Linked DNA regions of Callithrix jacchus. Each later gene encodes a partner of the first gene's protein in a complex. Links are inferred from orthologs where the notes say so. Each region holds a gene or a part of one and is shown in the gene's direction. Other genes may lie near its edges.

Evidence for each region.
Region 2: the proteins of KLHL12 (region 1) and PLEKHA4 are in contact, whole or in part, in a crystal structure (PDB 8OIO), measured with the Homo sapiens proteins. The link is inferred for Callithrix jacchus from reciprocal best matches to the Homo sapiens genes KLHL12 and PLEKHA4. Residues at the interface, in NP_067646.1 of Homo sapiens: Phe289, Arg320, Glu417, Tyr434, Ile439, Phe481, His486, Cys511, Tyr512, Tyr528, Leu533, Cys558; in NP_065955.2 of Homo sapiens: Pro177, Gly178, Gly179, Pro180.
Region 3: the proteins of KLHL12 (region 1) and PEF1 are in contact, whole or in part, in a crystal structure (PDB 8RBH), measured with the Homo sapiens proteins. The link is inferred for Callithrix jacchus from reciprocal best matches to the Homo sapiens genes KLHL12 and PEF1. Residues at the interface, in NP_067646.1 of Homo sapiens: Phe289, Gln293, Arg320, Tyr321, Leu371, Glu417, Tyr434, Ile439, Phe481, His486, Cys511, Tyr512, Tyr528, Leu533, Cys558; in NP_036524.1 of Homo sapiens: Gly15, Gln16, Ala17, Pro18, Gly19, Ala20, Pro21, Pro22.
Region 4: KLHL12 (region 1) and CUL3 share a complex: the UniProt entries of both Homo sapiens proteins name them as parts of the BCR(KLHL12) E3 ubiquitin ligase complex. The link is inferred for Callithrix jacchus from reciprocal best matches to the Homo sapiens genes KLHL12 and CUL3.

Annotation. Positions count from the first base shown.
Region 1 is NC_133520.1:29,967,155-29,974,514, reverse strand, and holds the start of KLHL12 (kelch-like protein 12), read left to right. Parts: upstream 1-2,952; coding exon 2,953-3,126; intron 3,127-4,602; exon of another isoform or gene 4,603-5,162; coding exon of another isoform or gene 5,163-5,282; intron 5,283-6,940; coding exon 6,941-7,171; intron 7,172-7,360. Other genes in the region: transcription and mRNA export factor ENY2-like, read right to left, coding at 2,943-2,966. UniProt on the Homo sapiens protein: Substrate-specific adapter of a BCR (BTB-CUL3-RBX1) E3 ubiquitin ligase complex that acts as a negative regulator of Wnt signaling pathway and ER-Golgi transport.
Region 2 is NC_133523.1:42,689,451-42,696,195, reverse strand, and holds part of PLEKHA4 (pleckstrin homology domain-containing family A member 4), read left to right. Parts: intron 1-477; coding exon 478-576; intron 577-1,506; coding exon 1,507-1,647; intron 1,648-3,127; coding exon 3,128-3,227; intron 3,228-3,297; coding exon 3,298-3,374; intron 3,375-6,745. UniProt on the Homo sapiens protein: Binds specifically to phosphatidylinositol 3-phosphate (PtdIns3P), but not to other phosphoinositides.
Region 3 is NC_133508.1:68,255,315-68,262,607, reverse strand, and holds the start of PEF1 (peflin), read left to right. Parts: upstream 1-3,304; 5' UTR 3,305-3,316; coding exon of another isoform or gene 3,317-3,340; 5' UTR 3,341-3,515; coding exon 3,516-3,538; intron 3,539-3,821; coding exon 3,822-3,888; exon of another isoform or gene 3,889-3,960; intron 3,961-7,293. UniProt on the Homo sapiens protein: Calcium-binding protein that acts as an adapter that bridges unrelated proteins or stabilizes weak protein-protein complexes in response to calcium.
Region 4 is NC_133507.1:146,310,705-146,317,885, reverse strand, and holds the start of CUL3 (cullin-3), read left to right. Parts: upstream 1-3,208; 5' UTR 3,209-3,524; coding exon 3,525-3,590; intron 3,591-7,181. UniProt on the Homo sapiens protein: Core component of multiple cullin-RING-based BCR (BTB-CUL3-RBX1) E3 ubiquitin-protein ligase complexes which mediate the ubiquitination and subsequent proteasomal degradation of target proteins.

The DNA of each region.
Region 1 (7,360 bases):
AAGATCATGTTAAGTGAAATAAGTCAGGCACAGAAAGACAAACATCGCATATTCTCACTTATTTGTGGGATCTAAACAAACTAACTGAACTGATGAAGATAGAGAGCAGAAGGATGATCACCAGAGGCTGGGAAGAACAGTCGGGGTTGTGGGAAGGTGGGGAGGGTAATGGGTACCGAAAAAGTAGAAAGGATGGATAAGACCTGGTGTCTGATAGAACAGAGTGAGTATAGTCAACAATAATTGAATTGTACATTTAAAAATAACTACAAGCATACTTGGATTGTTTGTAATGCAAACGATAAATTCTTAAGTGGATGGATACCCAGTTTTCTATGATGTGATTAGTACACATTACATGCCTGTATCAAAACCTCTCATGTACCCTCTAAATATATATACCTACTATGTACTCACAAATATTAAGAAGAGAAAAAAAGAAGAAAAAAGATGTCTGAACTCGTTCCGTTGGTGTGACTTTCTTGCTAACGGCTTCTCCATCTTTCATTTTGTGAATAAAAGGAGTGGGCATACTCTAAACAAAGCCTGTTTTATTAAGTTCCTTCTCATATTTGGAAAAATCCTTAATTTAGCAGTCAGGAATTAGGCAATATCATTAAAGTACTATTTTACATTCTGAAAACAAGGAATTATTTTTACTTTTTATTTTTATTTTGTTTATTTATTTATTCGAGATGGTGTCTTGCTCTGTAGCCCAGGCTGGAGTGCAGTGGCGGGATCTCAGCTCCCTGTGACCTCTGCCTGACAGATTCAAGCGATTCTTCAGCCTCCGCCTCCCAAGTGGCTGGAAGTGCAGGTGTGTGCCACCATGACTAGTTACTTTTTTTATTTTTAGTAGAGACAGGGTTTTGCCATGTTGGCCAGGCTGGTCTTGGCCTCCTGACCTTAGGTAATCCACCCTCCTCGGCCTCCCAAAGTGCTAGGATTACAGGCATGAGCCACTGGACCAAGACTATTTTTGCCATTTAAAAAATTGAACATATAAAAATAAAAAAATTAATTGAACATATAAGGCCGGTCGCAGTGGCTCACGCTTGTAATCTCAGCACTTTGGGAGGCCGAGGAGGGTAGATCACAAGGTCAGGAGTTCTAGAGCAGCCTGCCCAATATGCTGAAACTCCGTTTCTACTAAAAATACAAAAATAATTAGCCAGTCGTGGTGGCACACACATGTAGTCCCAGCTACTAGAGAGGCTGAGGCAGAGAATTGCTTGAACCCGGGAGGTGGAGGTTGCAGTGAGCTGAGATCGAGCCACTGCACTCCAGCCTGGCTGACACAGCGAGACTCCGTCTCAAAAAAAATTTTTGAACATATAAATATATTTTGAGACGTGGTCTTACTATGTCACCCAGGCTGGTCACGAACTTCGGGGCTCAAGCAATCTTCCCACTTCAGTCTCCAGAGCAGATAGGACAACAGGTGCCCACCACTGCACCAGGCTCTGAACATTATTTATAATTCACATGATGAAAAATTCAAAAGGCAAACAAAAATTATAAAGGGCAAAACTCTCCTTCCCACCCTGTCTCACAGCCAAACAGTTCCTCTCCCCAAAGAAACCAATGTTACCACTTTATTTTGTCTTTCCAAATACAGTTTACACACACAAGCAAATATGAATATATCTTCTACGTTTTATTTTTTGTGGGGGGGATGAGTTTCCCTCTTGTTGCCCAGGATGGAGTGCAATGGCATGATCTTGGCTCACCACAACCTTTGCCTCCTGGGTTCAAGCGATTCTCCTGCCTCAGTCTCCCAAGTAGCTGGGATTATAGGCGTGTGCCACCATGCCCTGCTACTTTTGTACTTTTAGTAGAGACGGGGTTTCTCCATGTCGGTCAGGCTGGTCTCAAACTCCTGACCTCAGGTGATCCGCCCGCCTCAGCCTCCCAAAGTGCCGTGATTACAGGCGTGATCTTCCACCTTTTTACCCAATAATAGAGAATACAGATTGTTCACAGCTTCATGGTATTGGATTTTATGGATGTACTATATTTCATTGAATTGGTCCCCTACTAATGGACATTTAACGTTGTTGTCAATCTAATCTACAAACAATGCTGCAGTTTGTACATATGTAGTACATATCTTTTACATATGTAGTCTTACATGTGCATGTGAATAATTTTATTAAAATTGACAAATATTTCCAAAATGCCCCCAATAAATTTTATAACAATCTTGCATTCTTCTCTACAATGTGGAAGTCAGGGACAGTTTTAGACAAGGAAAACACGACATGGAAGATGGAGATGCAATGTAAATTTAGAATGCTGCCCACTTGGCTATGGTTTTAGTATCCTTAAGAATGAAAGGGCTGGGCGCTGTGGCTCATCCCTGTAATCCGAGCACTTTGGGAGGCTGAGGAGGGTGGATCACGAGGTCAGCAGTTCAAGAGCAGCCTGGCCAACATTGCAAAACGCAGTCTCTACTAAAAATACAAAAATTAGCTGGGCGTGATAGTGCGTGCCTGTAGTCCCAGTTCCTGGCGGGGCGGGGCTGAGGCCGGAGAATCGCTTGATCCCGGGAGGCAGAGGTTGCAGTGAGCTGAGATCATGTCACAGCATTCCAGCCTGGGCAACAGAGTGAGACTCCATCTCAAAAAAAGAAAGAAAAAGGGGGCTCACAGAAGAAAATAGTATTACCAATTTGTTGTCTAGACATTCAGATAAGTTGAACCAATTAACCTCTTTGCCTTTTCAGACACTAACTGCACCAAAATCAGTTAGAAGCGAACTTTCTTAAATTAACCTTCAGCAACCATAGCCTGGTGAAATGTCAGCAGGGGAGTAACAGTGGTGATAAGGCTGTCTAAGATTTCCCTAAGAAGATTCTTTCCAATTTCCCTCTTAATGTCCACCTTGTAGTGGCCACAAGTTCCTTTCACTTAATTGTCTTGGAGTGAAAGAAGTAAAATCACCTTAGTGGTGATGATAAGCCCCATTATGACGCAAAGTATATACGAGGTCTGTGGATCGCAGGGCTCAGAGGATTCTTGCGCAGCGTTGTTCGGCCCCAAGAGGTCATTGTGGACAATGGAAGGGAAGAAATTTGAGGCCTCCGTGGGTTTTCTCGATAGCAAAAAGTTCCTCAGTACCTGGAAGGTAAAACGCACTTCCTGCATTCAGATGTTTAGCATATTAAGCCTTAGAATTCTCTCCGTCTGCTCTGCCTCCTGAGCGGTGGGGAGGGTCTCAGGCTCATTCAATCGCCAAGCTGTAGAGCTATATTCCCAGGCTTCCTGCGGACCCCACACCACCCAACCGTCCGTCCTTCCTTCCATCTTTCCTTTCTTCTATCTTTCTCTCTCTCGCTCCCTCCTTCCTTTCTTTCTTTCTCTTTCTCTCTTGAGAGTCTCACTCTGTCGCGCAGGTTGGAGTGCAGTGGTTCTGCTGCCTCAGCCTCCTGAGTGGTTGGGATTACATTCGCACACCAGAACGCCCGGCTAATGTTTTTGTATTTTTAGTAGCAACTGGGTTTAACCATGTTGGCCAGGCTGGTCTCGAACTCCTGACCTCCAGTGATCCACCTGCCTTGGCCTCTGGGATTACAGGACTGACCACTATGCCAGCCCTCCCCCCGCCCCCCCCGCCTCCCCCCCCGCCCCCGACAGGGTCTCATTCTGTGGCCCAGGCTGGAGTGCAGTGGCTGTCAGGTCTCCATATGCAAGCCTGGAACCAGAACGTCTGAAGTCCTGCCTGCTGCCTGCCTCTGCTAATTGTCTCCCACCCCACCGCCTGCGTTGGCCATTGTCCCTAATCGCCCAGCAGAGCTTCCCCGGACAAGCCCCTCACCCCACCCTGCCATCTTAACTGTTCTTATGTTAAATGTGGATACCTCTCACCCCATCCTGCCATCTTAACTGCTCTTATGATAATGTGAATGCTCCTTGCCCCATCCTGCCATCTTAACTGCTCTTCCGCCTTACTCAACCCGCCATTGTAACTGAACTTGTGGTCATGTATACTCCTTGCCACTACCCCCGACCACTGTAACTGATCTTACTCTGCAACACCCTCGCCCCCCAAAATTACCCCAACTTATAGAACCAATTCCCACCCTTACTCTCTTCGCCTTTCTCAGATTCGGTCCGCTTGCACCCAAGCGAGAAATAAAATGTCCTTGTTGCCCACACAAAGCCTGTTTGGAAAATCTCTATATTAAATGCATTTAATTTTCGGTATTATTAGACGTGAATAACAGTGGCGATCCTGGCCCACGGCAACCTCTGCTGCCTGGGTTCAAGGGATTCTCCTGCCTCAGCCTCCGGAGTAGCTGGGACTACAGGCGCAGGCCACCACGCCGGACTAAATTTTTTTTTAAATTTTTTGGTGGAGACGGGGTTTTGCTGTGTTGCCCAGGCGGGTCTGGAACTCCTGAGCTCAGGTAATCCGCTCGCCTCAGCCTCCCAAAAGTGCCGGGATTACAGGGGTGAGCCACCGCGCCCCGGCCACCTGACCTTTTTCTAATTCGGCTTCATAGCAGTTTACAGAAGTCCCGCCCCCGATAAGGCAGGTCACGTGACACCGCCTCATCACGTGACGCGGACTCTGCGGCGGGAGGAGGGCGGTCCTCACGCTGCATTGCGTCATCACGTCGCGCGGCCGCGGGGTCCAGACCCGAAGGCTCCAGAGCCTCCGGAGCCTCCGGGTCTGGGCGGCGGCGGCGGCGCTTCGGCTCCTTGTGAGCCGCCTGCTGGCCCTGCGCCCCACCCTATCCCCACAGGCTGGGGACAGGCCCGGCGCGGCTGTGTGGGCACGGGAGCTGAGGTGAGTTGCGCGGAAGTGATGGCAGTCAGTCTTTCCCTTCCTGTCCATCAACTCCGGGTTATGGCCCTTCCCCCATCCTTGGTCTCCCTGCAAGGGAATCGGAGGCTCGCCCTGGATAGGAGGAAGGCTGCGTGGGGCGTCTGGCCTCGGTCGCCCTCTCATCTCTCCGCATACCTCCACCTGGCGGTGCTGGTCATATGTATGCCTGCTGGTGTCAGGGGGAAGGACTTCGTTTCTTTCTCTAGAATTTAGTCTTTCCCGAATGTATTGCCCCTCCCCTGCCTCGAATCTCCCGAAGTGGAATCCCTCTATTCAGATGTTAACGGAAGTTCTAGAAAATAGGTCACTTCAGAAAGGTGAGAGTGAAGGATATGCTGAGACTTGGAGTGGTGAGGCAGGAATCCCCAAGAAGGAAGACCACTTTGCACCAGGGTTACTGTCATTTTGATGTGGAAACGACAAACCCCCCTCCCTCCCAGATTGTCATCAAGGTAAATAGACATTTGTTTCGGACCCTTTTTACACCCCTGGAGTTGAAATTAAATTGACTTAAGGCTTCTTGAAAAACATCATATGCTTTGATGAATCACCTGCTTTTCTGTAAAATTGGTCTTGCAGAGTTGTTGGAGGGATTATCTATGGTGCTTGTAGTGTAAAATGCCAACTATAAACATAAGTAAATGAGAATTTAAGATCTCATTTTTCCTATTGAAAAATTGTGAGTTGTGGACTTTTAGAGACCGTCGTTTGATTCCCAACCTTGGATCATTTCAGAAAGTTTTGGATTCCAATATTGATTCGTTAACAGTAATTGACATTTACAGATGTAGAGTAGGAATACCTTCTTGTTGAAGAGCTTCAATAGCTTAAGCAAGTAAGTCCACTTGGGTGGTTTCCACAGTTCATTGTAGGTAATGGGTCCTCAATTGGTTTTTTGTTGTTGTTGTTGCTGTTTTTAATTTTTTATTTATTTATTTTTTTTCTGATGCATTCTCGCTCTGTTGCCCAGGCTGGAGTGCAGTGGCATGATCTAGGCTCACTCGATGGAGCAATTCTCAACTGCCTCCTGGGTTCAAGCAATTCTCGTGCCTCAGCCTTCCCAGTAGCTAGGATTACAGGCATGTGCCACCACACCCGGCTAATTTTTGTGTTTTTAGTAGAGACAGGGTTTCATCATGTTGGTCAGGCTGATCTCGAACTCCTGACCTCAACTGATATGCCCACCTCAGCTTCCTAAAGTCCTGGGATTACAGGCGTGAGCTACTGGGCTGGGCCTGAAGTTTCACTTTAAGAAGAAATCCAGATATATTTGGAAGTCATCAGACGTAATTATTTGCATACTTTAGAAAAGTACATTTTTACCGAACTTTCTTGCTCTAAGTTGAATACACACTTTTTTTTTTTGCATTCAATTCTAAGCATTTATTGTGCAACTTCTAGGATAGAAAGCATACATATAAAGCAGGATCTTCACCCTCTAAATGCTTATCTACTTATGGATATTAAATAGTAATGATATAATACCTTTAAGGAATTTTATATTTTATTTTATTATTATTTTTTTTGGGACAGAGTCGCATACTGTTGCCCAGGCTGTAGTGCAGTGGTGCAATCTTGGCTCACTGCAGTCTCTGCCTCCTGGGTTCAAGCAATTCTCCTGCCTTACAGGTGTGTGCCACCATGCCCAGCTAATTTTTTGGTATTTTTAGTAGAGATGGGGTTTCACCACATTGGCCAGGTTGGTCTTGATCTGACCTCGTGATGCGTCCGCCTCTGCCTCCCAAAGTGCTGGGATTACAGGCGTGAGCCACTGCACCCGGCCTATATTTTCATTGTATCATTTGACACAAGAACCTTGTGAAGATTTACAGGACATAGATTGTTTACTTACATTTCAGCGTTCATCATAATAAATGTCAAGTGGTAGGGACACTCCATGATAGAGGAATTCGGAGGAAGAAGAGAGAACTTTTACATGGACTAGATAGTAGCTAGATAGTGGTGGTTATGTCAGGTATAGGAGTGCCTTCTACTTGTATATGTTTGAGTCTGAGGAAGCCCCTTAGATTCTCAATTTGTAAAGCTAATAAATATGTTGTTTCCCTAGTTTTTTGAATATGCTCATTGTTTTTTTCTCTTGTAATTGCAGAATCCAAGGACCCCTTTTGTTTCTCTGCACCACTTTCTGGGTGACATTATGGCCCCCAAAGACATAATGACAAATACTCATGCTAAATCCATCCTGAATTCAATGAACTCCCTCAGGAAGAGCAATACCCTCTGTGATGTGACATTGAGAGTGGAGCATAAAGACTTCCCTGCCCATCGGATTGTGCTGGCTGCCTGTAGTGATTACTTCTGTGCCATGTTCACTAGTGAGGTAAGTGGTAAGTTAGCCCCACACAAATGAAACTCTCCCATTGAACTCTACTTGTCTAATTTCACTGAATAAAATGTGATATAATTGTGAATTTTTACAGTGTGATGTTTAAGTAGGCAGATTCTGGATAAGATCTACCACCTGACTATGCCTTAGTTTCCTCATCTTTAAATTAGGGGTAATAGTAAT
Region 2 (6,745 bases), on another chromosome or scaffold:
GACCTCAAGTGATCCGCCCACCTTGGCTTCCCAAAGTGCTGGATTGCAGGTGTGAGTCACCATACCGGGCCAGGTGCTGTGGTCTTTTGACTGTCTAATGAATTCATTAGATCTGTAGACTCTGTTACCCATGAGAGTGCAGAAGTAATCCAGGGGATTCAGGGAATGCTGTTGTTTGTCTACACTAGCAGTGCGTTGGCACTGCAGAGTCTATACAGACTCTGGAGTTCCCTGACCATGTGCTAGGCACTGTTCTCAGCTCTCTTTTAATTTCTATTTGATAGTTACTATTATTGCCTCCATTTTACAGATAATTATAGTCCAAGCAAAGAGGCTCATGGGAATTGTAGTCCATATGCCCACAGGGCCCCAGGGACCAAGCTCCCTTACCTCCTCCTTAGCTGACAAACAATGGGGTGGGCAAAGATTTAGTGGGAGAGGGAACTAACCTGTGTCTCCCCCTTTATGCAACCTGAGGAGCGAGAGAGGGTTTGGGATACGTACAGTGGCCTGGAGCAGGAGCTGGGCACCTTAAGAGAGACCCTGGAGTATCTGCTGCACCTCGGTTCTCCCCAGGTAAATCCCTGCTTGGAGACCCCAAGACCCACCCCCAACTCCAGCTTCTGCCTGGAAATCCTTTCAGCATTTAATCTCCGCCCACAGAATCCAGGCTCCGCCCACAGAATCCAGGCCCCGCCCAGTTCACTCTCCGTCTCCTTTCTGTCCGTTCAATCTAAGCCCCTAATTTTAGTTAAGACCATGCCCTTTAGGTTTTTGTTTGTTTTTTGAGACAGAATTTTGCTCTGTCACCCAGGCTGGAGTACAGTGGTGCCATCTCACCTCACTGTAACCTCCATCTCCCAGGTTCAGGTGATTCTCTCACCTCAGCCTCCTGAGTAGCTGGGATCACAGGCACGCACCACCACACCCAAGTAATTTTTTTGTATTTTTAATAGACATGGGGTTTCACCATGTTGGCCAGGCTGGTCTTGAACTTCTGACCTCAGGTGATCCACCTGGGCCTCCTAAAGTGTTGGGATTACAGGTGTGAGCCACCGCATCCCACCAAAAGGCAGTTTTTTCAATTATTTTTATTTATTTATTTATTTTGAGTTGGAGTTTCGCTCTTGTTACCCAGGCTGGAGTGCAATGGCGCAATCTCGGCTCACTGCAACTTCAGCCTCCTGAGTAGCTGGGATTACAGGCACATGCCACCAGGCCCAGCTAATTTTTTTGTATTTTTAGTAGAGACGGGGTTTCACCATGTTGACCAGGATGGTCTCGATCTCTTGACCTCGTGATCCACCCGCCTCGGCCTCCCAAAGATGCTGAGCCATCGCGCCCGGCCAGTTTTTTCAATTAAATTGGATAACCACTTGAAAAAAAAAAAAAATCCCAACTCCATCAATATAGCCCAGCTGACTTCAGGCCTTTGCAGGGGCCTGTTAGCTGAAACCCTCCTGCATTTTCCCGCCTTTAAGTGACAAATTCCTTTCCTCCCCACAGGACAGAGTGTCTGCTCAGCAGCAGCTGTGGATGGTGGAAGACACGCTGGCAGGTCTGGGTGGCCCCCAGAAACCGCCCCCACACACTGAGCCTGACTCCCCATCTCCCGTGCTCCAGGGTGAGGAGTCCTCAGAGAGGGAGGTAAGATGCACACAATTCTCTCCCCACCCCCAGCTTCCTGTCCCATCTGTCCTTGGCTTAGTCTATTCCCCTCCCACCTCTTTAATTCTTCCTTGATCAGTGAACCCACCTGACACAACTGTCCTAACCTGGAAGCCTTTGTTTTTTGGGGTTCTTTTTTGAGTCTCGCTCTGTCACCCAGGCTGGAGTGCTGTGGCATGGTCTCGGCTCACTGCAACCTCCGCCTCCTGGGTTCAAGTGATTCTCCTGCCTCAGCCTCCTGAGTAGCTGGTATTACAGGCGTAAGCCACCTCACCAGGCCTAATTTTTGTATTTTTAGTAGAAATGGGGTTTCACCATGTTGGCTAGGCTGGTCACGTACTCCCGGCCTCAAGTCATCCACCTGCCTCGGCCTCCCAAAGTGCTGGGATTACAGGTGTGAGTCACCACGCCCAACCAGGATTTTTTTAAAAAGACAAATCTCCAGAAAAAAATAAAATAAAGACAGATCTCACTCATTCTGTCGTCCAGGCTGGAGTGCAGTGATGTGATCATGGCTCACTGGAACTTAAGTGATCCTCCTGGGCTTAAGTGATCCTCTCACCTCAGTTTCCCAAGTAGCTAGGACACAGGTGTCTGCCACCATGCCAGGCTAATTCTTTGTTTTATAGAGACAGGGTCTCCCTATATTGTCCAGGCTGGTCTTGACCTCCTGGTTTCAAGTGATCCTCCCACCTTGGCCTCGCAAAGTGCTGGGATTATAGATGTGAACCCGCTGTGCCCAGCCTAAAAAGTTTTTGTAGGGAAGGGGTCTCACCAGCTTGCCCAGGTGGTCTCTAGCTCGGCCTCAAGTGATCCTCCCACCTTGGCCTTTCGAAGCACTGAGATGACAAGTCTGAGCTTCTGTGCTCAGATCTGGTTTACAGTCTTAATCCTCTTCAGACTGTGTTCTAATTGCTAAATGCTTGAAACATGTTAATAATAATAATAATGATAACAGACGGTGCCGTGGCTCACGCCTGTAATCCCAGCACTTTGGGAGGCCAAGACAGATGGATCACCTAAAGTCAGGAGTTCGAGACCAGCCTGGCCAACATGGTAAAACCCCGTCTCTACTAACAATACAAAAATTAGCTGGATATGGTGGCGGGTGCCTGTAATCCCAGCTACTCGGGAAGCTGAGGCAGGAGAATCACTTGAACCTGGGAGGCGGAGGTTGCAGTGAGCCAAGATCATGCCACTGCACTCCAGCCTGGGTGACAAGAGCGAAACTCCGTCTCAAAAAAAAAATTGCCAGGCGTGGTGGAATATGCTTGTAATCCCAGCTATTCGGGAGGCTGAGGTAGGAGAATCACTTGAATCCGGGAGGCAGAGATTGCGGTGAGACAGGATTGCGCCATTGCACTCTAACCTGGGCGACAGAGCAAAACTCTGTCTCAAAATAATAATAATAATAATAATAACGACGACCATCATTATTCCCTTTTTCTTATCCCTGAAGAGCCTGCCTGAGTCCTTGGAACTGAGCTCCCCTCGGTCTCCTGAGACTGACTGGGGGCGGCCTCCTGGAGGTGACAAAGACCTCTCCAGCCCTCGCTTAGGTGAGCATCCTGGCCGGGTGGGAGTTTCTGGAAATTCCCACCCTCACCAAGTCCCACTCTGTATTTGTAGGTCCTGGGTCTCCAAAGGTCTCCCGGGCTTCCAGCCCCGAGGGTCGCCACCTCCCTTCCCCACAGCTGGGAACCAAGGTAGGCTATAGATCCATCCTGTAATCCTTGCCTCTGACCATCAGGGACCCCCACACTTCTGGGGAAACAGCTAGGAGTAGGGTTCTAAGGCCACACTCAGAACAGAGGGAACACTGCTTGTTAAGAGCACTGAGATTAAATTTTGTCTCTGCTGCTTCTAAACTGTGTGACTTCGGGTCAGTTATTAAATCTCTCTGTGACTCCATTTTTTCATCTGTAAAATGGGGCTACTAGCAGAACCTACCATCCAGGGCTGACATGAGGATGAAAACTAGATGTATGAGGCCAGGTGTGGTGGCTCATGCCTGTAATCCCAGCACTTTGGGAGGCCAAGACAGATGGATCACCTAAAGTCAGGAGTTCGAGACCAGCCTGGCCAACTTGGTGAAACCACACCTCTACTAAAAATACAAAAATTAGCCAGGGGCAGTGGCGTGTGCCTGTAATCCCGGTTACTCAGGAGGCTGAGGCAGGAGAACCACTTAAACCTGGGAGGCGGAGGTTGTAGTGAGCCTGGATCATACCATTGGAGTGGTGTGATCACTGTACTCCAGCCTAGGCAACAGAGCGAGACTCTGTCTCAAAAAAAAAGGCCGGAAGTGGTGGTTTACACCTATAATCCCAGCACTTTGAGAGGCCGAGGAGGGTAGATCACCTGAGGTCAGGAGTTCAAGATCATCCTGGCCAAGATGGTGAAACCCCGTCTCTACTAAAAATACAAAAATTAGCCAATGTGGTGGCGCATGCCTGTTAATCCCAGTTACTCGGGAGGCTGAGGTAGGAGAATCACTTGAATACAGGAGGTGGAGGTTGCAGTGAGCCAAGATCTTGCCATTGCACTCCAGCCTGTGCAACAAGAGCAAAACTCCATCTCAAAACAATAACAAGAGCAACAACAAAAAGATATACTCCCTGAGTGGGGCAGAGAGCTGATCTCATGTGGTCCTGAAGTTCAGAAATAGGTGGACTTCCAGTAGCAGGAATGTTTAGGAATTGGTTGATATTAATCTGTGGAGGCTCTGTGTCTGCTGCTGATTGGCTGGTTTTCAGAAGCATGGAATTATCACTGATTGGCTGATTTTCAGAAGGACAGATCCATCACTGATTGGCCAGCCTTCAGAAGCATGTGACTGTCACTGATTGGCTGATTTTCAGAAGCACAGATCCATCACTGATTGGCTGGCTTTCAGAAGCCTTTGGGGTACCTGTTGGGATTACTTGATAAAATAGATTTAAAAGCATTTCTTGGGGCTGGGAATGGTGGATCACTCCTGTAATCCCAGCACTCTGGGAGGCTGAAGCAGGCAGATTACCTGAGGTCAGGAGTTTGAGACCAGCCTAGCCAACATAGTGAAACCCTGTCACTACAAAAATACAAAAATTAGCCAGGTGTGATGGCGGGTGCCTGTAATCCCAGCTACTCAGGGGGCTGAGGCAGGAGAATCACTTGAACCCAGGAGGCAGAGGTGGCAGTGAGCCAAGATTGCACCACTACACTCCAGCCTGGGCGACGGAGCGAGACTCTGACTCAAAAAATAATAACGATAATGAAATACATAAATAAAAGGATTTCTCGGCCGGTGGTGTCGGTTCATGCCTGTAATCCCAACACTTTGGGAGGCCAAGGTGGGTTCATCAGTTGAGCCCAGGAGTTCAAGAGCAACCTGGCTAACATAGCAAGACCCATCTCTATAAAATAAATAGTAAAAAGGCCGGCTGGGCACGGTGGCTCGTGCCTGTAATCCCAGCACCTTGGGAGGTGGAGGCGGGTCAATCACCAGGTCAAGAGATCGAGACCATCCTGGTCAACATGGTGAAACCCCGTCTCTACTAAAAATACAAAAAATTAGCTGGGCATGGTGGCGCGTGCCTGTAATCCCAGCTACTCAGGAGGCTGAGGCAGGAGAATTGCCTGAACCCAGGAGGCGGAGGTTGCGGTGAGCCGAGATCGCGCCATTGCACTCCAGCCTGGGTAACAAGAGTGAAACTCCGTCTCAAAAAAAAATAATAATAAATAATAATAATAATAAAAAGTTAGCTGTGGCCGGGTACAGTGGCTCACGCCTGTAACCCCAGCACTTTGGGAGGCCGAGGCGGGTGGATCACCTGAGGTCAGGAGTTCAAGATCAGCCTGGCCGACATGGCAAAAACCCATCTCTACTAAAAATACAAAAATTAGCTAAGTGTGGTGGCACACACCTGTAATCCCAGCTATTTGGGAGGCTGAGACAGGAGAATCGCTTGAACCTGCTGGGTGCCAGAAGTTGCAGTGAACCAAGACCATGCCATTGCACTCCAGCCTGGGCGACAGAGCAAGACTTTGTCTCAAAAAAATAATAAAATAAAAAGTTAGCTATATGTTGTGGTGCTACTTGGGAGGTTGAGGCGTGAGGATTGCTTGAGTCCAGAAGGTCAAGGCTGCAGTGAGCCATGATCGCACCACTGCACCTCTAGCCTGGGCAGCAGAGGGAAACCGTGTTTCAAAAAAAAAAAAAAATGTATTTCTGGTGCTTACTTGTCATCATGGATACAAAAGCAATCAAGACTTTCCTAGGAAGAGAGGAGGGGCACATTTTGATTCTCAGTGGTATGAGTCATGGGCTGGATGATGGGAGCCTTCTGGAAACATCACGTATCTTGGGACATGCTCCTCCCTCACCCCAGCACCATGGTTTCAGGGGCTGCCAAGGTCCAGAGCACACAGGTGGTCTAGTGAGTTCCAGAAGTTTCAGGGCTGAGCAAAGAAAAACCTATGACCGCCAGATGACAGTGGCACACAGGAGCTTTATTTGGTGGACACTGACAGATTTGTCTATGGGGGAAGTCACACCCAGTGTGAGACCCTCCAAAGGCTACTGTGTGAGGGTGAGGACCACTGCACAGGAGGAAAGGGAAGGGAGCTCCCAAGAGAGGGACCGGAGAAGGGCCTTATCTTTTTTTTTTTTGAGACAGAGTCACCTTGTCATCAGGCTGGAGTGCAGTGGCCCAACCTCAGGTCACTGCAGCCTCTGTCTCCCGGGTTCAAGGCGATTCTCTGCTTCAGTCTCTCGAGTAGCTGGGACTACAGGCGCATGCCACCAGGCCCAGCTTATTTTTGTATTTTTAGTAGAGATGACGGGGTGGTGGAGGAAAAAAAAAGTAGAGACGGGGTTTCACTGTGTTAGCCAGGATGGTCTCAATCTCCTGACCTCATGATCCGCCCTCCTCGGCCTCCCAAAGTGCTGGGATTACAGGTGTGAGCCACCGCGCCCGGCCTTCTTTTTTCTTTAGATACAGGGTCTTGCTCTATCCCCCAGAGTGGAGTGCAGTGGCACAATCATAACTCACTGAAGCCTTGAACTCCTGGGCTTAAGTGATCCCCTTGCCTCAGC
Region 3 (7,293 bases), on another chromosome or scaffold:
GCTCTGTACATTCCAGGAATGGCACAACCAGGCTGGCACGGCTGGAATGAGGCAAGGAGGGCAGCAACAGCAAGAAGTGAGGCTGGAGATGCTGGTACGTTTGGCTATGAAGGTCATTAGGATGAGTTTAGCTTTCATTATAAGAGCAATGGGAAGCCCCCATGTGAGTTGAAGCTGAGGAATAAGATAATCACTCTGGCTGCCTGTGGAGAAAATGGAGTGTGGGGAGAAGAGTGAAAGCAGCATTGAATACAATGAGTTCTAAGTTTCTCTTCAAATAATCATTATGTCAGTATGTTCAGTATTTTATCCCCCATTTCAAAGTTTAACTTCCTCGTACTTTCAGTAAACAGCCTTTTCCATCAGTTCTGATCAGTAGTTCACATCTGTTCCCCTGGTCACCTTTTCTGTCCTGACTCATCCTGGTCACCTGCTTTGACCTGAGTCACCCCTAGTCACCTGCTATGACCTGAGTTACCTTTAGTTACCTGTTCTATAATTGTTTTTCCCACCAAACTGCTCACCCCACCACTCTGGTTCATACCCCTGCTCTCTTTAAAATAGCCAATCGGAATTAGCTTAAACTTTGCAGTTCAACCCTAGCCACTAGGGCAATGACACAGCAATAGGGACTACCTGAGTCAGGGATAAGAACTCCTGACTCAGGTATTTAGGTGTGCGCTTGCCATTGCTCCATCTGTAAGATACACCCTTCTATAGAAGTAAATTGCCTTGTTGAGAAAATTTATATTTGAGTGCTACTTCTTTTGTGGCACTGAAAATTTACATATAACAGGCTGGGAGCAGTGGCTCAAGCCTGTAATCCCAGCACTTTGGGAGGCTGAGGTGGGTGGATCGCCTGAGGTCAGGAGTTCGAGACCAGCCTGGCCAATATGGTGAAACCCCCTCTCTGCTAGGAATACAAAAAAATTAGTTGGCCAGGGTGGTGTGTGCCTGTAATCCCAGATAGTTGGGAGGCTGAGGCAGGAGAATTGCTTGAGTCTGGCAGGTGGAGATTACAGTGAGCAGAGATTGCACCACTGCACTCCAACCTGGGCAACAGAGTGAGACTCTTTCTCAAAAAAAAAAAAAAAAGAAAGAAAAGAAAAAAGAGAATTTACATATAACAGCAGGAACATTGGTCAATCAGCTAGTGTAGTGATCCAGGCATGGATGATAGTGTCTTGGACTACAGTGACAGTGCGAACAGGGAGAAGAGTGCAGATGTGTACATTTTTAAATCACAGCATATGGAGATAAGAGAGGTGGGGGAGTGTGTGGAGAAAAAAAGGACATACAGGAATGATCTTAGGTTTTTGTCCTGAAAGACTGGGTGGATTTTCTGAGATGGAGAGCAATGGATTTTAAGGAAAACATCAAAAGAAAACTTCTATACAAGGTAGGCTGGAATATGGCACAGTGACAGTACCAAGTGCAAAGGGAGAGTGGCAAGAGAGAGTGGCTAACTCTGGAGCTAAGGAGAATGTGGGAAGGTTAGGTGGAGAATGGAATTGGAACTGAGCCTTGCAGGACTGGAGATGGGAGGGCTGCTGGTCCAGGTGAATGGAGTGGTTTGAACCTAAGTTTGGGGGTATGAGCAGGCACCATAAGCTAATTTTCAAATTTACATATTTGTTTCTGTCAGCTAAGAAAACTGAAACTAAGAGAGGTTAAATAACTTGCCTAAGTAAAATATGGTACATATATGCCATGGAATACTAAGTAGCCATAAAAAGGAACAAGATCATGTCCTACGCAGGGACATGGATGGAATTGGAAGCCATTATCCTCAGCAAACTAATACAGAAACAGAAAACCAAACACTGCATGTTCTCACTTACAAGTGGGAGCTGAATAAGGAGAACACATAGACACGCACTGGGGCCTGTCAGAGGGTGTGGGGAGGTGGGAGGAGGGAGAACATCAGGAAGAATGGCTAATGGATGCTGGGCTTAATACCTAGGTGATGGGATGATCTGTGTAACAAACCACCCTGGCACACATTTACCTATGTCACAAACCACATCCTGCACATATATCCGGATCTTAAAAGCTGGAAATAAAAAAAAAAAAGAAATCTTCCCTAAGGTGATACAGTTAGAAAGTGATGAAACAAACATTCTCCCTCCAAAGCAGAAGTGCTGAATGGTGACACTGAGCACAGGAATACAGAGTAGCAGAACATTGGAAAGGTAAGGCTGGGCCACATTCTGAAGGGCCTGGAGTGCCAGGATGAAAAGATTTGGCCTTATTTTGTAGGCGTGGATGAAGAGCATCCATGATCAGATGCCACTTGCCCATGATTTTGGAAAGTGCACTTGGTTAGATAGATGGGCCCACACTGGATAACACTTCATAACATTCATTTATTCATTTTATTTTAAAAATCGTGTCAGTTACTGTACTAGGTTCTGGGGTAATAATGACAAGCAAAAACCCTTGCCCACATGGAAGAACTTGAAAAATTAATAAAATAAGCACACAGGTGTAGAAACGGAACCACTGAGTGGCAATTACATGGTACTGAGATCACTCAGTCACCAGGATTTGACCTACAATGGGGACCGACCTAGACTTCCCTGTTGAGAACCGGACATCCATGGACCCCAGTTCTAGGCCATCCACTGTGAGCTAAGGCAAGACACTGCCTCTGTGGACCTCAGTTTCCCCATTTATGAAGAAAGAGACACTACATAATTTAATTCTCCTCCAACTCTAACGGTCTGGGATTTTTTTCCTCCAAAGAGCACAGATCTGTATCCCACTATAAGGCTACTAACTGGTACCCAGTGTCTTGACATTAGAGGAGTAATTCCGCCATTGCCTCTCCCTTCCGGAAGGACTCGGTCGTTTCCCCGTTGTCAGGGCAACCGCCTGGCCACCGCCTCTCCTCTCCTCCCCCCACTGGCTGCTCTCCTTTGCGGAAACTCGGGAGAGACGCCCTTGTACGTCACTATCATGCGTCCCATTTGCCAGGTTATAACATGGCTACCACAGCAACACCCCACCCAGGCTTTTCACTAAATATCCGAACCTAACCACCGCTTAGGCCCACTCCAGATCAGGAAAAGGAGGAACACTAGTGCCGGTGCAGCCACCAAAACTTCCGGAAGCTCCATCAGGCACTTAACTCTCCTGATCTCTCGGGTAGGCACCCTCCCACCACCCCCATCGTCACTTCCGTCGGCCGACAGCACTCAAGATTGACAGGCTGGGACGTCCAGTAAGATGCGGGCCCAGCCCCAAAGCCGAGGCGAGGGGCGGGTTTGAGAGCGGAAAGCCCCACCCCTTGCCTGCGTGTGACGTCAGAATCGCCATGGCCAGCTATCCCTACCGGCAGGTGAGTGTGTGAGGGGACCGTGAATCCAGGTAGGGGCCGTGCCCCGCGCAGGTCCGGCGACCCCCGCTTCTTTCTGCCCGCTTTCTCTGCGCACTTCTCACAATGGGTTCGCTTCAGCGAGGCTTCGCGCTGTAGAGAACTGAAAAGGGACCGTCGGTCGCGCCCTGCTCACGTCATGAAGGACCGCACATTTAGCAGGTCGTGTCGCGCCCCCTTTGACGTCGCTCACGCGAAAATTTGGGGACCTTGGACCCCAGCCTCCTAAGGCTCCCACGGGGGCCTTGGGCGGGGGCATCAGCCATGACCGGACGTTTAGAGTTCTGGTTCCATCGATCTCATTTGGGGTGTCGGATAAAATTCCAGGCTTCCGGACCCACCCCAGCACTGCATCACAGTCATCAGGAAACTCTGGTTGTAGCAGGCGCCACAAGTGAGCTGGTTTGACCACTGACTTAGTTCAACACCTCCATTTCGCTTTTAGGAAAGTGAACCCCGAGAAGATACAGAACTTACCTGAAGTCACCAGGCAGTTAGCCAGCAGGGCCGAGGTCAGAACCCGGGCTGTCTTCAGATGCCTCTTCCCCAGCCCATCTTGATTCAGCCAGGAATACCACAGCAAGGTGACTCTGTGGCCAGAATTCTTTGTTGGGTGTTAGTAGGGTGTTTAAGTGCAGTTTGGAGTCAGAGGTAGGTTCACATCTTGGCTCTACCACCTAAATAGTTGTGAGCCCTTGAATATTTTGTCGTTCCGAGTCCAAGTGTCCTCCTGTAAAATAGGGCCGAATAATAGGGGCTGCCTTAGAAAGCTGTTGTGGAGAGTAAGGAGGTGAGGCTTATGAAGCATTTGGTATATAGTAAGGTGTAACGTGTTGCCCTTCAGCGTTTTGATTTTCCTAGGCTTCTAAAAGGCCAGTGCCTGGAGGGCCCTCAAAATAGTCCCCTCATTTTACAGAGGAGGAAATGAAGCCCACAGAGGCCTGCCATCACACAGTTATTTAGAAGATGAAACCCATACAGGAAAAGTGGGAAAACAAGATCTATTGGTATATTACATAATGCTCAAATGAGTATAGTCACATGCTAAAAGATGTAACAGCCCTTCCAGGGATTACAGTCTTGTACAGGTTATGCAGTATTTGGACCTCCATTATCCTAATCATGAAGGCCCTATTGGCATGCAGGTATTATTACCCCTAATTTATTGCTAAGGAACAAACCCAAAGAGATTAAGTGGCTTTTCAAAGGTCATATGTAGTAAGTGAGGGTGAGGCCATGACCAGAGCTTAGGACTTCTCTGATTGCATTCTTAGAGAGAGGTAGGAAAGAGAGGCCAGTGCAGGCTGGAGTTAGGAGAAAGTGTAACGTAGCCTTTGTGTTCTAAACTCCGTTCCACTTGCTGAGTCTTGTAAGTTGTTAATAGATATTGTTAATAAAGGAGGAGTCTGTAGTTAACTAAAGTTTTGGAAATACTCTTGTTAAGTATAGCTGAATAATGTTGACCATAAGTCATTTTCAAAATTCCCTTTTTTTGAGATGGAGTTTTGCCTTGTTGCTCAGGCTGGAGTGCCGTGGCACCATCTCGGCCCACCACAACTTCCACCTCCTGGGTTCAAGGGATTCTCCTACCTCAGCCTCCAGAGTAGCTAGGACTACAGGCGTGCGCCATGACGCCTGGCTAATTTTTTTTTTTTGAGACAGAGTTTCGCTCTTGTTACCCAGACTGGAGTGCATGCCACGATCTCGGCTCACCGCAACCTCCGCCTCCTGGGTTCAGGCAATTCTGCCTCAGCTTCCCGAGTAGCTGGGATTACAGGCACGCGCCACCATGCCCAGCTAATTTTTTGTATTTTTAGTAGAGACGGGGTTTCACCTTGTTGACCAGGATGGTCTTGGTCTCTTGACCTCGTGATCCACCTGCCTTGGCCTCCCAAAGTGCTGGGATTACAGGCTTGAGCCACTGTGTCCAGCTCAGAAATTTTAATTTGCTAATGTACATTGTAAATCTTCCAGAAAGGAATATAATATGCAGTGTTTCTTAAACGTGTTTAACCACAGAAACTCCCTGTCCCCTCTTTCTTTTCAGATGTCTGGTCACTTTTTGTGACTCTGGTATTTCTGAGGAACACAGGCTGAGAAAACATTCATAGTGCCTTGTTTCCCAGCTGTTGGTCTTCTGCCTCAGAATCACCTGAGACCTTGTTTAAGAAAGCACACTTTTGGGTCCCACTTCAGACCTGTTCTGTACCCAGGAATCTACATGTTAACAAGCATTAGGGACAATTTGTTTGCATTCTAAAAGCAATGACAAGTTAGACAGAACTGTGCTAGAATTCTAGCTGTATTACTTAATAGTTATATACCCTTAGACAAACTAAGGGCTCTGAGCCTCGCCTTTCTCACCTTTATAAGAAGAAATAATATCCATGAAAAGGGCTAAAATGAGGTTGAAATGCAGGGAGCCTCTCACGTTGCTAGTGCCTGGTACATGCCAGTGTCTGGTGGCAGCTCCTGCTGCCGTGACTGCTCTCATCATGCCATGCTGCCTGGGCTATTCTTGGAGTGAAATACTGAAAAGGAGCACAGAGAGAAGAATCTGGAATAGAAAAAGAAATGGTGCTTTTTTTCCTACCATACCCTTGGCCGCCTCCTGGTCTCAGGTGTTCTAAGAAAGGAAACGGGTTGTTTAAAGCATTTCAGTCAGTGCTGCCTCCCCTCCACCCACTACATAGCTTTGGAGGATTCCAGCCTGGTGTTAGGAGTCCCAATTCCTGTAATTTTCCACTGATTCCAGTCCAGGGTACCCAGGCCAGGACTGAGTGTTGGAGTGGTAAAATTCAAGCACCCTTGGGTCCTATAGGGGAGCCTGTTGGGGGATTTCAGTGCTTAAGAGCTTAGTCTCCGAGGCCACGGAGATTTGGCTTCAAATCCCTGCTTTGGCCACTCCCTTGCAGAAGTTTGCTGCAAAAGTCTGAGACTCAGTTTTTCCTTCTCTTTCTTATTTCTATCTTTTAATTTTTTTTTGAGACTTTTTTTGTTTGTTTGTTTTTTTGAGACAGAATCTCCCTCTGTCACCCATGATGGAGTGCAATGGCACGATCTTGGCTCACTGCAGCCTCTGCCTTCCAAGTTCATGAGATGCTCCTGCCTCAGCCTCCCAAGTAACTGGGACACCACCACGCCCAGCTAATTTTTTGTATTTTAAAGTGCTTGGTATGGTGTTGGGCATGTAAAATACTCCCAAGTGGAGGAGTAATGCAGTTATGTAGATTGAAGAGGCAATGTGATAAGTATGAAATGGGAGTAAGTGTTAGGTACTAGGACAGCATGGGAGAGTGAGATACCTAACTCAGTCTAGGGTGCATCAAGACTTTTTAAAGAGGTGATATTTAAGCCAAAAACTGAATCACTGGTAGAAATTAGCTCAGTGAAGAAAGGAATGATTCCAGCAGAGGAAATAGCTGCACAAAGCCCAGGAAGCAAGTAAGACCGCATAGTATTCTGTAGGGACGTGAAGAAGCTCAGTGTAGTTGTAGTGATGTGCGGGAAAGGGGTAAGAAATAGACTAGAAAGGTAAGCAAGGGCCAGGTCCCAAAGGGCCTTGTATACCTTTTTGGAGAGTGTGACTTCATTCTGAGAGTAGTGAGGGAGCCAGAGAAGTGTTGTGTCCCATTTGTGCTTTGGAGCGTTGACCTTGGGGTGCTGTGAGAATGGACTGAAGCAGGAGAGACAGGAGGCATGTATACCAGTTTCGAAGCTATTGAGGTAATCTAGGTTAACAAGAACTGTGACCTGGTAGAGAAGATAGGAGAAACACTCGGAAGGTAGAGTTGAGAAAACCTGGTGCCTAAGTGAGGTGACAGAGGGGAGGAAAGAGGAGGCTCCCGGGAGGGCACTAAGGCTTTAGGTTTGGATCATGAGGCGGAATGGAGCTCCATTCACTGTGATGAGAACAC
Region 4 (7,181 bases), on another chromosome or scaffold:
GAAAATGAGGCCACTGTTTTCCTGTGTCAGGACACTGTCAGCATGAGTAGGAATACCAATCACCAGGCATGCAAGATCCAGCAAGTTCCTATTCCGGTGCTGCTTTCTCTGCTAGATTAAGTGGCAGTTTGCAGAAAAGCAACATCCTGAAAGTTTACTAGCTATCTGCAAGTCAGGGAATACGACTGGGCACAGAAAAATAGTCTACTGCTGCTTCAGAAAGTATTTTATATACATTTTGAGGATGCTGCTTCCTTAGGAAGGAAAATATCTGATTTCTGGACTGAAGTATATACAAAGTTGGGGCCAAATCCAATGTGGTCTGTAGTTTACAAACGGTGAGATGTGAAAAAGGATGTGATGGCAGGTCCCATCTGTCTCATTCACCCCAGTTTCTGACATATAGTAGCCATTCAACAATAATTCTTGAATAAATGAATAACTGAACAAATAAATGAGCAGACTTCTTAATGAAAAATTCATTTTGAGTCGTTTTTCTGACTGCTGGTGGTTAAAAGCCAAGGGAAGACACAGTTCATAATGATTCTTTTAGCTGCAGCTAAATTTTGGTTAAGCAACACCAACATATGAAAATCTAGGCTCACAAAACAAACATATTAGAGTTACCATATTTACTATATGCTTTACAATTAAGTAGAAATATACCTTAATGTAGTGAGTTCCTAAATGCTGGCCTGTGACGTCTCCTTAAGTTCAGAGTGAAATGAGAAAAATCAGTGTGATGCATTGTTCATCCTGAGGCTGGTAAATTCAAGAAACTGTCATTTATTCAAAAATGGATCTTCCCCATTTCTGAGGTTAAAATACATTTTAATAAATGATGGGGATAGTCTATGCTAATTGTTCCCTTTTAATGCCCTTGCCAATATAAAGTCAAACCTATATTGACTCCCTAGCTTATCAGAAAATATTTTAGTGGACTGAGATCCAAATGTCAGTGACTGGCTTAGTTTCAAAATACGATTTATTTTATAAAAGCATACAAGTGTTTTTTTAAAAGAAACCTACCTATTGAATAAAGGAAGTAGTATAACCTTGGCTTTAACGCCCATGTTAGTAACAGCCAACAGGTGGCAAGTGGCTGCTCTCAGGGCACTGAGAGCAATGCCCAACTCTCAGGGCTTCTAAAATGTATTCACTTATTCAAATTTCATAGTAGCCCAAGGAGGAAGTACTGTTATTGTCTCCATTTTACAGATGAGGAACTCTAGGCATTGTCAACTCCATGTCCCAAAAGACACATAACACAGCTAGTAAAGTGGCAGAATTGGGATTCAAACAATGGCTCCAAGAACATATATATATTTTTTAATATATATTTTTAAATTTCTTTTTTTTTTGCCAAGAAGGCTGAGATTACCGTGAGCAGAGATCACACCACTGTTAAATTTCTTTTTATGGTTCCTCAGAGATCGCTGTTCTGAACATATATTCTTACAGTAAAAGAAACTGGGCCATAAGAGTACAACCAACAGGAAAACATTGTTATTATATTCTAATATTATGGAAATGAAGGTTCAATTAGCATACAGATTATAAACTCCAATACAGACATTATCTTATACTGAAGTCAGAGCCCCTCCCAATCTTTGTTTATTAACTCAATTCTTGATAACCTATTTTTAGCTTCAGTATTTACAGATATTATCTTAAGCAATATCCTTGTTTCTTAAGCTCTTGCTTTAATTAGACAATACCAAAAAACTCCCACAAAAAAAAAAAAAAAAAGAAAATATGGTATTTGCAATGGGGCGTTTCAACCGAGTAGGGGATTTAAGCGCAATAACTCATAAGCTTACTAATTAGAGTTAATTTAGGGCAAATTCAACCTTACAGTCAACAAATGTGTATTTCACTTTATATTAAGTTTGCTATTTAAAAGTATTACAATTTCAGCTTCTAAATGTACATATCTATCCCTAAAACAGCTGTTTCTTTAAAACAGGAAGATGACAAACTTTAGTAGGCACTCACATACTCCCTTGCAGAGTCAGAAACCCAAACATAACAGCACTTGGGCAAGTAGGTAAATGAGGAAGTACAGTTCATAATAAATGGACAGCAAAACCATGAGTCAGATTAGACATTTTGAATATAAAATGATCAAACCCCTCTCCCCCAAAACCCAAAACTTTTCAAATATACAGCAACTGTATCAGACAGTAATTTTGGCTTTAAAAACCTACAGTACTCTTGGTAATAGTAGAAATGACTCATCTGGTTGGTTAAAGTTAGGTTTCTATCATTCCATTTAACATCATTTACCAAATGCTGCATTTCATTAATGGAGCTGTTATTTTTTTCTGATAGTAATGAAAAACAGGTTTTAACATTAATAAGCCCGGGGTCCACCAGAAAATATCAGTGAATCAAGAGGTCCCGAAGCTTTTGCAGTTTAAGGGAACTTTGTAGATTAAATTTCCACCCTCCAGTCCTGAGAGCTGTTGTGTGGACACCCAGTCCGAATACCTTGTTGAGCATACAGGACAGTAATTTCCGATCATGCAGGTAACTCCTGCACAAACTCTTCGTTCTAGTTGCTGGCTTCTGCTCAAGTACCCATCCCTAGTCCATATGCCCTAGAAAAACATAGGAACCAGTTCGGGACGTAGTTATCCATCTAGCACCCCACGCTCCTCCTCAAGACTAAATCTTGCCCCAGCCCAGTAAGGCCCAGCCCACTACAATCCTGCTCCTGCTCTCCAAACTTCCCCCGCCCACTCCCCCCACGTGACCAGGAACCCCCCTCCCCCCCAACCCCACTTGAAGTTCCACCAATCAGCAACCACCTCCGCCCAGAACCGGGGACCTGGCGCTCCTCTTTCAAAAGGCAGCTTAAACCTCCCGCTCTTAGCCACGCCCTCTTTTCGCTACCCCGCCCCGCCGGCCCCTACCACTCCCCCCAACTCCCCATTCCCCTCCTCCCCTCTGGTGGCGTCCTCCCGCTCCCGGGTTTCGCCCCGCCCCACAAGGAGTAGCGCGCTCGCCCTCTTCTCGCGAGATCTGAGCGTCCCCGCCGCGGCCGCCCGCTTCCCCCTCCCGTCCTCCCACCTCCCTCCCCCCGCATCTCTCACTCTCCGGCTCTCCTCCCTCCCTCCTCCCCCCTCCACCCTCTGGGCCGGATCTCGTCTCGCTCAGGCGGAGGAGGAGAAGGAGGAGGAGGAGGACGACGTTCGGCCTGCGCAGTGAGATGTTTGTCCGTCGCCGCCGCCGCCGCCATCGCGGAGGAGCGCGATAAAGGGAGCGAAGCCGGGCCTGAGGGGGACCCCGTGGAGCAGCCGCGCCAGCGCAGCCCCCCAGCCGCGTCGGAGCCGCCGGAGCCCGAGCCGCCGCCGTCCCCGCCGCCGCCGCGGCTGCTCAGGGGCCGGCCAGCTCCCTAGCCCTGCCCGGGTCCGCTCCGCCACCGCCCCCAGCGTCGCCCCTCGCCTGCCCGCCCGCCTTAAATGTGACACCGGCGCCGCGGAGCGCGACCTGAAGCCGCCGCCGGGTAGGGGACGAGCACCATGTCGAATCTGAGCAAAGGCACGGGCAGCCGGAAGGACACCAAGATGCGGATCCGGGCCTTTCCGGTGAGTCTCTCCCCGGCGTCCGGGACCCCGGGGCCGGGGGCCGAGCCGAGAGCCGCACGCGAGGCCCGGGCTGAACTCCCCCAACAGGCCGCAGGCCCGGCCTCCCCTCCCCCACGCCCGCCGGCCGCGAGGCGCGAGCCTTCCCAGCAACCGGGCGGCGCGGGGCCCCGGCGCGGCCGCCCTCCCGGGCCGTTCCCCGCGCCGGGAGCCCGGGCCTGGCCCCGCGCCCCCGTCTGCGAGCTGCTTCTCCAGCCGCCTCGTGGGCGTTGGCTGCGGCCGGAGCCCCTCGGCCGCCCCACGCCTCCCCACGTTGCCGGGGTGTAGGGCCAGTCTCCGGCTTTGCTGGCTGCGGCGGAGTCCTCCCTGTGTGGGGCATGTGTGCAACTTTTCACGTGGGGTTTCGCTGCACTTTCCAAAATAACCCAGTCTAGCTTTTAGGGTGATGAAAGGGCTGCCCTCTCTGTCCCCCTCCCCAGGAAGGGCTCTGCCCTCAACTTGCCTCCGACGCAGTGACAGTGGTTGCACGGAATGCTCTGTGATCATAAACTAGTAACATGGGGTGTATTTCATCCCGCAAGCCTCCTAAGCACTTTACAAACTCTTGTGCAGGATTGCCTCGCCACTCCGAGGAAGGCCGGGGGAAAGCCACAGGGAGCAAACCGGGCAATTGGTTCTCCATTTCTCAGCCTTGGGAGCCCAAAGAATGAGCTTAGTCGCCTTGTGGAGTTGCTTTCTTTCATCGGTTTCAGTGACAGCAAACGCGTTCTGCTCAGAAACTTACTTTTTTGGCATTAGGTTGAGTCGTACCCTTTCAGTGTTTAGGACATAGGGTATAACTTTGGGTGTCATATCTGATTCAGATACCTGATGGCAAGCAATTAAAATGTACTCTTGTTAACAAACTGGACATACTTGCCCATGTTGCTACAATAAAAGGCATACATCAAGACAGACCAACTAGCAATCGGACAGAAGATTTTAAAAAGTAAAATTAGAGAAAGATCTTGGTCTTCCCGTCTTAGATTCGCAAATACTTCATATGATGTGCAGGCATAAGAGAGGGATTTATTGTCACTTTTTAAAGCATGCTTTTCCTGAAGTGCCCTTGTAGTGGGGAAAAGACTTGTTATCTAAATATGATTGCCCCAGTTGAGTCAAGTAATTTAGTCCCAGAGAACCTGAGGACCTCTGAATTCCTAAAATTGAAAAGGATACACCTGATGTAGAATTCTGAAATGCAAGAACATTAATACTAAAGTCAGTGTGAGGAAGCTTCTGCTTTCTGTAAATAGGTACGATGTATTTGGGAGAATTAAGTGTTTTTGATAATAAAGGCTTTTTGAATGTTTCAAACTTTTTTCTAAGTAAACGTGAGAAATTACATCAGGAAGTCAGCAGTGTTGACAGAGTACTAACGAAGTTCACTAGTATGTTTTCCTTTATAATTGGGCAAAGAGCTGGCTTTATGAATTTGTGAGTAATATTAATAATTTTCCTGCTAAATTCTGACCATTTTAAAGTAGAGTTTAGAATTTAGAATTTTATGAAGTTAATAGTTTTGTACAACAGATTTTCTAGGAGTGTTTGCGGTCCTACACTCCTCATTCTTGAATTCGAAAGTTCTAAAGATTTTTTTCTAAAACGTGGAGTAACTCACATTTGACATCGACTCACTCAGGTTAATGGCCTTCTGATTGACCAGTTGTACTTCCATCTGTGTTTAATCAAACTCTTTGATGTCTACAGGTTTCCCTGATCTTACCTGTTTTGCCATCATTTCATTTGTTCAACAAATACTGAATATTATGTGCCAGGCGGTCTTGTGAGGGTTTGTCAGTATAGCTAAAAAGACCAAGATCCCTGCCTTCTGGAGCTAGTATTGTTGAGGAGAAGAGATGGGAGAGAATTTCATATTCCTTTAGCTGACCAGTATAATAAAATTGTGTGATAGCTTACCACGTAGTACTGGAACTGAATTTTTTTTTTTTTTTTAGCTTCGTTTATGGTTATGAGCTAATTTGGGCCTATTCTGTCTATAACTTCTCTTTCAGGTTATATGTAAGTGACTAGTTTTGATATTCAGTAGTTAATAGCTGTTGATTTCTAAAATTTTTCATTACTGTTTAATAAGTATTAATAACATTCATAAGTGGTTCCCATTGAAAATAACAATTCTAGTTTGGCCGGGCGTCTGTGGCTCACGTCTGTAATCCCAGCATTTGGGGAGGCCGAAGCAGGCAGATCATGAAGTCAGGAGATCGAGACCATCCTGACCAACACGGTGAAATCCCATCTCTACTAAAATACAAAAAATTAGCCGGGCATGGTGGTGGGTGCCTATAGTCCTAGCTACTGGGGAGGCTGAGGCAGGAGAATTGCTTGAACCCAGGAGGCAGAGGTGGTGCCATTGCACTCTAGGCAACAAGAGTTAAACTCTGTCAAAAAAAAAAAAAAATTATAGTTTGAGACTTGGTTACAGATAGCTATATATCTCAGTGGTATGGTATTTCATAGATTTATCTTGTTAACCATGTGCTTGTAGACCTTCAAAATTCCAGTCTTCCAGATTGGCAGTTTTATACATAACTGCAGACTGCATGAGTTGATGGTCAAAAGTAGTTAATGCATAGTATTACATAAAGAAAAAATATGGCCAGGCAGGTGAATCACCTGAGGTCAGATGTCTGAGACCAGCCTGGCCAACATGGTGAAGTCTCGTCTCTACTGAAAATACAAAAAAAGTGGGGCCTGGTGGTGGATACCTGTAGTCCCAGTTACTCGGGAGGCTGAGGTTGGAGAATCGCTTGAATCTGGGAGGCGGAGGTTGCAGTGAGCTGAGATCACACCATTGCACTCTAGCCTGGGCAACACAGATCAAGCCATAGCACTCCAGCTTGGGCAACAAAAGTGAAACTGTCTCAAAAAAAAAAAAAAAGAAATATTGTTTATGGTTATACATAGGTACATCGTTGTTTATGGTTACACATATGTACATATTTAAAAATTATTGTATTTTACATCTGTTATTTGGATATATAGCTACTGTAATTTAAGAGAAATTATAGTTTCACCGAAAGTCCAGGCATAGTGGCTCACACCTGTAATCCCAGCACTTTGGGAGGGTGAGGTGGGCAGATCACCTGAGGTTAGGAGTTGGAGACCAGTCTGCCCAACATGCAAACCCCTGCCTCTGCTAAAAATACAAACATTTGCCAGGGGTGGTAACATGCACCTGTAATCCCAGCTACTTGGGAGGCTAAGGCATGAGAATCACTTGCACCCGGGAGGCAGAGGTTGCAGTGAGCTGAGGTGGTGACACCAGCCTGGGTGACAGAGCAAGACTTGTCTCAGGAAAAAAAAAAATTGTATATGTTTAAGGTGGACAACATGAGGTTTTGATAATTGTATACATTGTGAAATGATTACTACCATGAAGCTAACTTATAATCACCTCATAAATACTTGTTTTTTTTTAATGTCTGTGTGATGAAAACAATTAATGTCTACTGTCCTAGCAACTTTCAAATATACAATATAGTATTATTAACTATTCTTACAGTGCTGCACATATGATCTCCACAATTTATTCAT